2 linked regions of the Rattus norvegicus genome follow. The protein of the gene in region 1 purifies or fractionates together with the protein of each later gene. This does not show direct contact. Links are inferred from orthologs where the notes say so. Each region holds a gene or a part of one and is shown on either strand. Other genes may lie near its edges. The genes, in order: Slamf1 and Ptpn11.

Region 1 (3,818 bases):
ATGTAGTTATTTACTTGTGGCCCTGTAGAACCTACATCTAGCTGAATCCAGCACCTTGTGAGCCTCTTTAACCTCTGCTCCTGTCCTTGAAGACACCTACAATTCCTATCCCTTAGGCTCTGAGCCTTGTCTGCTTTCCAAAGCTTCCTGACATCTGTGTGGGGCTTTCTTTCCAAAGGATGTCGTACATCACCAAGGATGGCAGAGGGAGCCCACAGCCAGCATTTTATCGAAAGCTGTAGCTTTCTAGGAGAAAAAGAGAAACATCTTTACTCTCTTCTGTCCCAGCACTTCCCTCCTGCAAACAGAGAGTGCAGAGTTCCCGTAACCCTCTGTTGAGTGTTCGTGGAGGCCGCACATCATGTTTTTTAAATAACATAAGTGTTATACAATCTGTCCTTTTGCTCTTATGAGTTCACTGATTTCGTCATACCTTATATAATCAGCTAGGTGTGTTGGGAAATGTGGTCTCTGCAGCCATTTTCTTTGAGGAGAGAGAGAGAGAGAGAGAGAGAGAGAGAGAGAGAGAGAGAGAGAGAGAGAGAGAGGCTGATTTCTGAATCAGACTAAGGTATTTATCTCAGCCTGGCCACTTAGAAGCTACATAGTCATTTAAGTCATACTGTTTCTCTGAAGACTCATTTTCTCATTTGCAAAATGGGAATGATTACTTTTAGTCATAATAGTTGAGAGAATGAAAGAAGATGGATATGAAACGCCAGCGATGTGCTGATCCTGTAGCAGCTGGATTAAACACAGACGTGACCTCCCTTTTACCTTGCCTATCTTGTGGCACTGGAATTGTCTGGTTGATAGGACCCGTAGCTAAGGTTTAAAACTTTACCCCTGCTTCAGACCCACAAAGTCCTTGCACCACCACCACCCACGTCCACAACACACGCACGCAGGCACACATGCGTACACATGTGCTCAATGAAAGCCTACCACTGAAAGTTCATGCTTTTAGCTCACAGTCTAGGATGTTGTACTCATAAGCCAGTCAACCTATCTTATTCCTGATAGAACAAGGCAGAGCAATCTAGACGGCAAGCATCAGGAGAGGCATGTAGCATCCTAACAGAAAGGAACCGTACGCCAACTGCTTCTCTGTTCTATCTGAAGAGGCTCCTGGAATGAGCAGGGTGGGGTGAGGGATGATATGAGTTACAGCTCCCTAGCAGAGACAACTCACACTCAAGGTTTCTCAGTGAGGGGAAAAATGACATCTGGCTAGACTTTCTCTTGACAAATAAGTCAACACTTCCGGGACCTTTGTTTCAGTGATGGCTCCCTTGTTCCTCCTCCTGACAGAACAGGTCTCCACTCCAGAGATTAAAGTGCTAAACAAAACCCAGGAGGAGAATGGGACCTGCCACTTGCTGCTAGCCTGCACGGTGAAGAGAGGGGATAATGTGTCTTACAGCTGGGGTGATGAGGCAGGTACCCGTCTGCCAAGCCAAGCCAACCGCTCCCACCTCCTGCACCTCATCCTTAGCAACCAGCATCAGGACAGCATCTACAACTGCACAGCGAGCAATCCTGTCAGCAGTCGCTCTCGGACCTTCAACCTATGGCAGCAATGCAGGCCAGAATCCTACTCAGGTGAGCACTCGGGGACCTCATCCATGGCAAATCCAATGCTAGCTAGGCCAAGAGCACTACTTCAACAGCCAATCCTTGCCCACAATATTTCACCTTTGCTTTATATTGCCAAAGTCTCCAGGTACATCTAGGTGCTTTCCGTGTTGGCCCCATTTGATTCACAGTTAAGGAAAAAGCAGGGAAGGAGGGAGGACCCAGAATCTGAGCCAGACTCAGGTCTCCAAGAGCAAGACTTTCTCTGTGCTTTCTGCCTTGAATCCAGTGTTCAAGGATATGTAGGAAAAAGATTTTGGGATGTAGGTCCTAGGTCCTAAATCCATGCTCCGTTAGGGTGAAACAGTTCTTTGCCATCTATAAATACACCCCACCCCCCAAATACTTCTCTACTTATGTTCTGGACCACCAATAAGTACTTAGGCTGCAAGATCAGGGAGTAGATACGATGTCTGATCTCTGCACCTCAACAATGCATTGTAAATATAAGATATGAGACATTTGCTCAGTAATGATGTGCAGGCTGTAAGGGAGGGGCTCGTGCTGTGAGTGGACTGTGAATCTTAGAGCCAGCTAGAGGACCAGAGGAATCAGCGTGATACTGGCAAGCTACTTTTAACTGTACCGTCTCTTTGGTTCACAATAAATTTGCCGAGCGGGTGCTACCACCAGCTTCATTTTACAGAGGAGGAACTTGAAGTTCACAGAAACTAAGCATCTCTCCAAGCTTCTTCAACTTCAGCTAGTGGAATCAATGCCTAAACTTAAATATTCTGAGTAGGTTTCTCCTTTCCGGGGTAGAAAGCCTCGTTGCTCTGTTGGAGGAGAATGCTGATTACGTAAGCTAATCTAACCACAAAGATACAGAACAGACCACTGCTCTCTCGTGCCAGGCTGTGTGTCTCTGTCACAGGACGGTTGAGGGAGAGCCCCAAAAGGCTTTTCTTATACCCTGACATTGGGCAAGAGTCATCTCAAGGAGACTCCAACCCAAGTAAATGTGGATTCTATGTGACACAGCAGACAGGTGGGGGCAGAGGAGAGGGGACTGTAACTACACTATGTCTTCAGCATAGCACTTCCTGTTACAGAGACCCCAGCCCCCAGAAGATTCTCAGATAGGAAACACCCCTGCTGTACCCCAGGATATTCCTTTGAGTTCTGTCACGAACCTAATGCAGCCATGTCATGGAAACAGTCAATCATCAACCCTCACAGCCATCCAATACTCTAGTGTGAACATCTTCGCACTATGAATGAAGTAAAGAGAATGAGAAAAACTATGAAAGGCTTGAGTAAGAGCTGAGCTGTCTGGTACCGAAACCCTTCCAGGTAGTCATGGAAGAGTGATTGCACTAGAACACCTCAGGAATCATGATGAAAAAAAGAACTAGTTGTTTTCCTTGGAGACAGGGAAAAATACCCATTGTGCCAGGCTAGCTCTCTTGGTAAAAGTCTGTTTAGGAACAGGGGAGCAAAAAATTTACACTAACCTGTCTAAAAATGGAGATGAGTTCCCCTCCCATGCTTCCAGATAGCTCAACAAGAATACAGCTAATGCATAATAAAACCTCCACACGCCGTAAAGTTTATGCTGAAGGGCATTTGGCTCAGGATATTCTAAGCTAACACTGAAGGTGATTTTACTCATTTAAGCTGTCCTGAGGAAGACTCATACACTTATGTATGTACGTAGGCATATATGTATGTATGTATGAGTGTATGTATGTATGAATATATGTATGAATGTATATATGAATGTGTGTATGAGCGAATGTATGTGTATGAATGTATGTATGAATGTATGTATGTATGTATGGATGTATGTATGAATTTATGTATGTATGAATGTATGTATGTATATATGAATGTGTGTATGAGTGAATGTGTGTATGAATGTATGAATGTATAATGAATGTATGTATGAATATATGATTGTATGTATGTATATATGAATGCATGTATGTATATATGAATGCATGTATGTATGTATGAATGTATGTATAATGAATGTATGTATGTATAATGAATGTGTGTATGTATGAATGTATGTGTATATGAATGTATGTATGTATGTATGTAAGTATGTATGTATGTATGAAGCAGGCTGCTATAAGGTATGGAGGAACACGAAGTGGAGAAACATGGTACTCTGAGTAGAAGTCTATGGAGACCTCATCCAGCCAGTAAAGCTACTAGACAAGACTTTTCTCTCTTGGGCC
Region 2 (3,818 bases), on another chromosome or scaffold:
TGTGATCATGGATGTGCAGTGCCCTCTCCTCGCTGCTTCATCTTCCAGAATGGAAGGCATCCAGAGTGAAGAGAGAGTGGCCACTGAAGAGTCCCACTTTGATCGGATTTGTTGCCTTTGGCCTGGGAGCACATCCATGAATGGTGCTCAGTGGTCCTTGCCACCTTGCATAGTGTGTCCATCTCTCCGCATCCAAGGGGACTTAGTCTTAGACATGAAGCCTGTAGGCTCTCCTGTCCCATGTATAAAGGGCTTGGCTTTGTAGAGAACCTACTCACTCCTCCTGTGGTCTTCATGTAGCCGGGCAGGCCTTGAACTTAGGGTGAGTGTGCGCGTGCTCAGTACAAATGCATTGTCAACGGATATTCAGTGCATGGAGAGCGGACTCGACAGGGCTCTTCTCTGCTCTCTACACGGGTGTGGCATGTGTGAGCGCTCACACCTCTCACACACGCAAGCACATGGTGGGATGAGATTACTTTCCTGTTGATTTGCTCTGCTGGTTTCCTTGCCCCACCATTTCATCTTCGGATGCGGAGGTCTTTTCTGAGGTATATAGGAGGTAGGTTGGAGGGTTGGGGGAGTGTCTCACTGGCTCAACACATGCCCAACATGGTACAAGGGCTCTGGGTGCCATCGCCAATATGCTAAATAAATAAAGTGCATTATTGTGCCTTCCACCCCTGCACACGGTGATTAGAGCTCGTGCAGTAGGAGGAAGGCCTCTGGTCTGCATCAGTGGGCAGTTCCTGCATCCCTCCGGCTTCTGGGTCTCCTAGGGATGTGTTCACAGCGCATTCCTCCTGCAGGTGCTGGGCCGGCCGGCCGGGAGCTCCTGACAGTTTGGTCAACATGTTAGTGTTCATAAGAGTCTAGTCTGTCCATCTGTCTGTCTCTCTCTCGTTTCCTTTGATGAAATAGCCTTCTATTCCTGTGTTTTTCTAAAAGTCGAGTCCACAGTCCTTCTTACTTGTATTTTTTCCCACTTTCAGAAAAGCAAAAGGAAAGGACATGAATATACCAATATTAAGTATTCCCTGGTGGACCAGACAAGTGGCGATCAGAGTCCCCTGCCACCTTGCACCCCAACGCCACCCTGTGCGGAGTAAGTATTGATGTTGGCGTTATAGCTCTGGTCAAAGCTTGCTGTCTGTATTCCTCTCTCATGCTTGCTTGCTACCCACTGATGGTACATGGGGCGGTCAGGCGCAGGGGATCTCTAGGGACTGTGGACGATGTCTCAGCAGGGTTTCCAGGCCCCTAACCAGGAGGCCTGTGCTGGGCCCTCCAGGACCCTGTGGGGCCCTAAGCATGCTAGGAAGGGTTCTCTGGGAAAATCGCGTTTTCCTTTTGCAGTTAGCATTATTTCAGAGGCAATGCTGTCCTTACAGTGTGTTCTGACTCTGAGTAAGAATAAGTAAGTTCTATATTTATGCGTGGACAGGACTATGATCTACCAATAAGAGTTTTTAAACCAAAGGTCAGAAAGCCAGAGCCTACAGGCCTAGCTTTGCTCTTGTAAAGGAGTTCTTCTTTCCGACAGACAGACAGACAGACAGACAGACAGACCCCTCAAAACCCAGCAAGGTGACAGTTGCACAGGGGCAGCCATCCTAGTGGGAGATGGCGGGCCATTACGAATGGGCATCCTGCAAAGGAAGCAGCAGGCGGCTTAGGGACAGGACACGGCGCAAAGCTCTTCCCACACACCACGCAGTGCCAGAAGGGGGTGCAGTGCTGCTGAAGACAGATTGTTTTTAAGGAGCGGCTGCTGCGTGGCGCTGCTTCAAGCTCATTGCTTCAGCCCACAGGGCAGCTTGCCCCAGACTGCAGCCAGAGCCGTAAGAGCACGCTGCCTGCTGACCTTGCAGCTTGGAGAATGAATACCTCTCCTGGAAGCACTCAGATCTCAGGGAAGGTTTTGTTCCAGAGGCATTCAACATGATGCCATCTTAATGGTTTGTGCATCTTTGACAGGAAACTGACATTTCCAGAGTGTGAGTTGAACTAGAGACACACCCAGAAGCAGAAAGGGCCCAGGCTCTGTCAGTCAGACCCCAAGAGGGACTGAACTTAGCTCCTGGTGCTCACTGGTTTTTCACTGACACAGCACTGTGAGAACTCACCAGTATGGTGGCTCGGAGAGCTCGGGTGGTACAGTATTGAACCAGCAGCGTGGCTGCGCCTGTCTACACGTCATCCTTGTGTCTGTTAGTCTGCTTATAGCTCTTGAGGTCAGTGTCCTTAGGCCACTTTGGGGTAAAACACCCCAGTCCTCTGAGCTGGTGCTTTGTAGCCGGCTACTGAAGACTCCCGGGAGAAGCAGGACTCCAGTAGAAACCACATTCACATTCCAGGAAACCCAGGTCCCTGCATTTTAAGTGACAGTTTCCAGGGGTGTTTGGCCAGGTTAGGATTGAAGTCTACTGTGACCTCTTTCCTTCACTCTGCTCCTCCTGTCACCCCAGTGCTTGATGTCTGTAAGAGCCCAGACTTACATGTCTCCACCCCTCATGCAACCTGGGAAAGGAAAACCCCAAGGCATAGCACACAGAGGGACTCTCTGGCCAGTAGAGTCATCACACGTTGGTTCTTTCCAGAAGGGCCTTGCAAGCTCTTGGGTTAAAGTAAAACACACAGGGCAGTATTTGTTAGCCAGTCACGTGGCTAGCAGCTGTGCTGTCTGTACCACAAGGTTGCTCTCTGCCCTAACATTTACTTTTACTTTCCCCTGGAATCCCACTTGTTTGCTTCTGCTGTGGGCTTTTAAAGCCCCGCTGACTTTAATATTGGCTCTACACAGCTCTGATAGATAGCAGATAGAGGCCTGTGTTTACATTCTCTCTCTGTTAAACACAGAAATGAAATCATGTGGGAAGGGTGTTCTCTCCTGAGTCACCTTCCCTCCTCCTGCTCTGTTCTGCCCCAGCAGGCTGACTGGTGATACTGGTGTCTTAAATCGATAGCTATAGTAACCTGCTGGGGAGCAGCACCTCACGCTACTCACACTACTGGGTGAGCACCCTTCCTACAAAGCTCACCAGTGACTGACAGGCAATCTGCCTTCGTGCTGTCCCATGAGGGATGCACACCTGAGATCCTAGGCCCCAGGGCTGCTCAGAGATCCTATCCTTTTGTCCCACACAGCTGGCTAATAGCCTTCTTTACAGAAGGAGACTAGGCCTTTGGGTGCTTTTAGTTCTTCATCCAAGGCTCTAAGGGTGACTGGAGCCCTCACTTGTGATGCCTCTGTGGAAATGGCCACAGTTCCTGTCTTTTGTGCACCTACTCCTTCACTGCCCTCCAAGCTGCCTTCCCTCCATTCACACTCTGGAAGACAGGACTCAGGGCCTCTGCTGATTTTCCAAATTCATAATAGTCTGTGTCTGATGTCCATTTTGAGAGCCAGCTCCTGGGTGAGAAGGGGTCAGTCTTGGCCTAGCTGGACATGGCAGTCAGGTAAGTGTCTTCCTTCTTGTGTGTCTACAGAATGCGGGAGGACAGCGCTCGAGTCTATGAGAACGTGGGCCTCATGCAGCAGCAGAGGAGTTTCAGATGAGCTTCGGGTGGCAGCGCGCAGGTATGACACCAGTCTCTCCCTGGGGCCGGCCACAGTGGTCCAGACAGGCAGGCGACTTGTTCGTGCCAGAGCAAGACGTCCTGTGATTGAGTCGTGCAAACCAGCCTTTCTCTTTGCCTTGCCCCTCTCCAGGCCGGGTTTGGTTTACAGTTCATTAAGTCAGATCAGTTAACTGCATGGGATGGAGCTGGCACAGCAGTTGACAGGGATGGAGTGGACTTGGGTGGTACATGCCCTG

What was found.
Region 2: the proteins of Slamf1 (region 1) and Ptpn11 purify together in Homo sapiens (affinity purification with western blotting; 3 studies listed by BioGRID and IntAct, with this or other methods). This does not show direct contact. The link is inferred for Rattus norvegicus from reciprocal best matches to the Homo sapiens genes SLAMF1 and PTPN11.

The regions. Positions count from the first base shown.
Region 1 is NC_086031.1:86,812,595-86,816,412, forward strand, and holds part of Slamf1 (signaling lymphocytic activation molecule precursor), read left to right. Parts: intron 1-480; exon of another isoform or gene 481-1,311; coding exon 1,312-1,602; exon of another isoform or gene 1,603-3,818.
Region 2 is NC_086030.1:41,077,864-41,081,681, forward strand, and holds part of Ptpn11 (tyrosine-protein phosphatase non-receptor type 11), read left to right. Parts: intron 1-992; coding exon 993-1,105; intron 1,106-3,489; coding exon 3,490-3,559; 3' UTR 3,560-3,580; intron 3,581-3,818. UniProt on the Homo sapiens protein: Acts downstream of various receptor and cytoplasmic protein tyrosine kinases to participate in the signal transduction from the cell surface to the nucleus. Positively regulates MAPK signal transduction pathway. Dephosphorylates GAB1, ARHGAP35 and EGFR.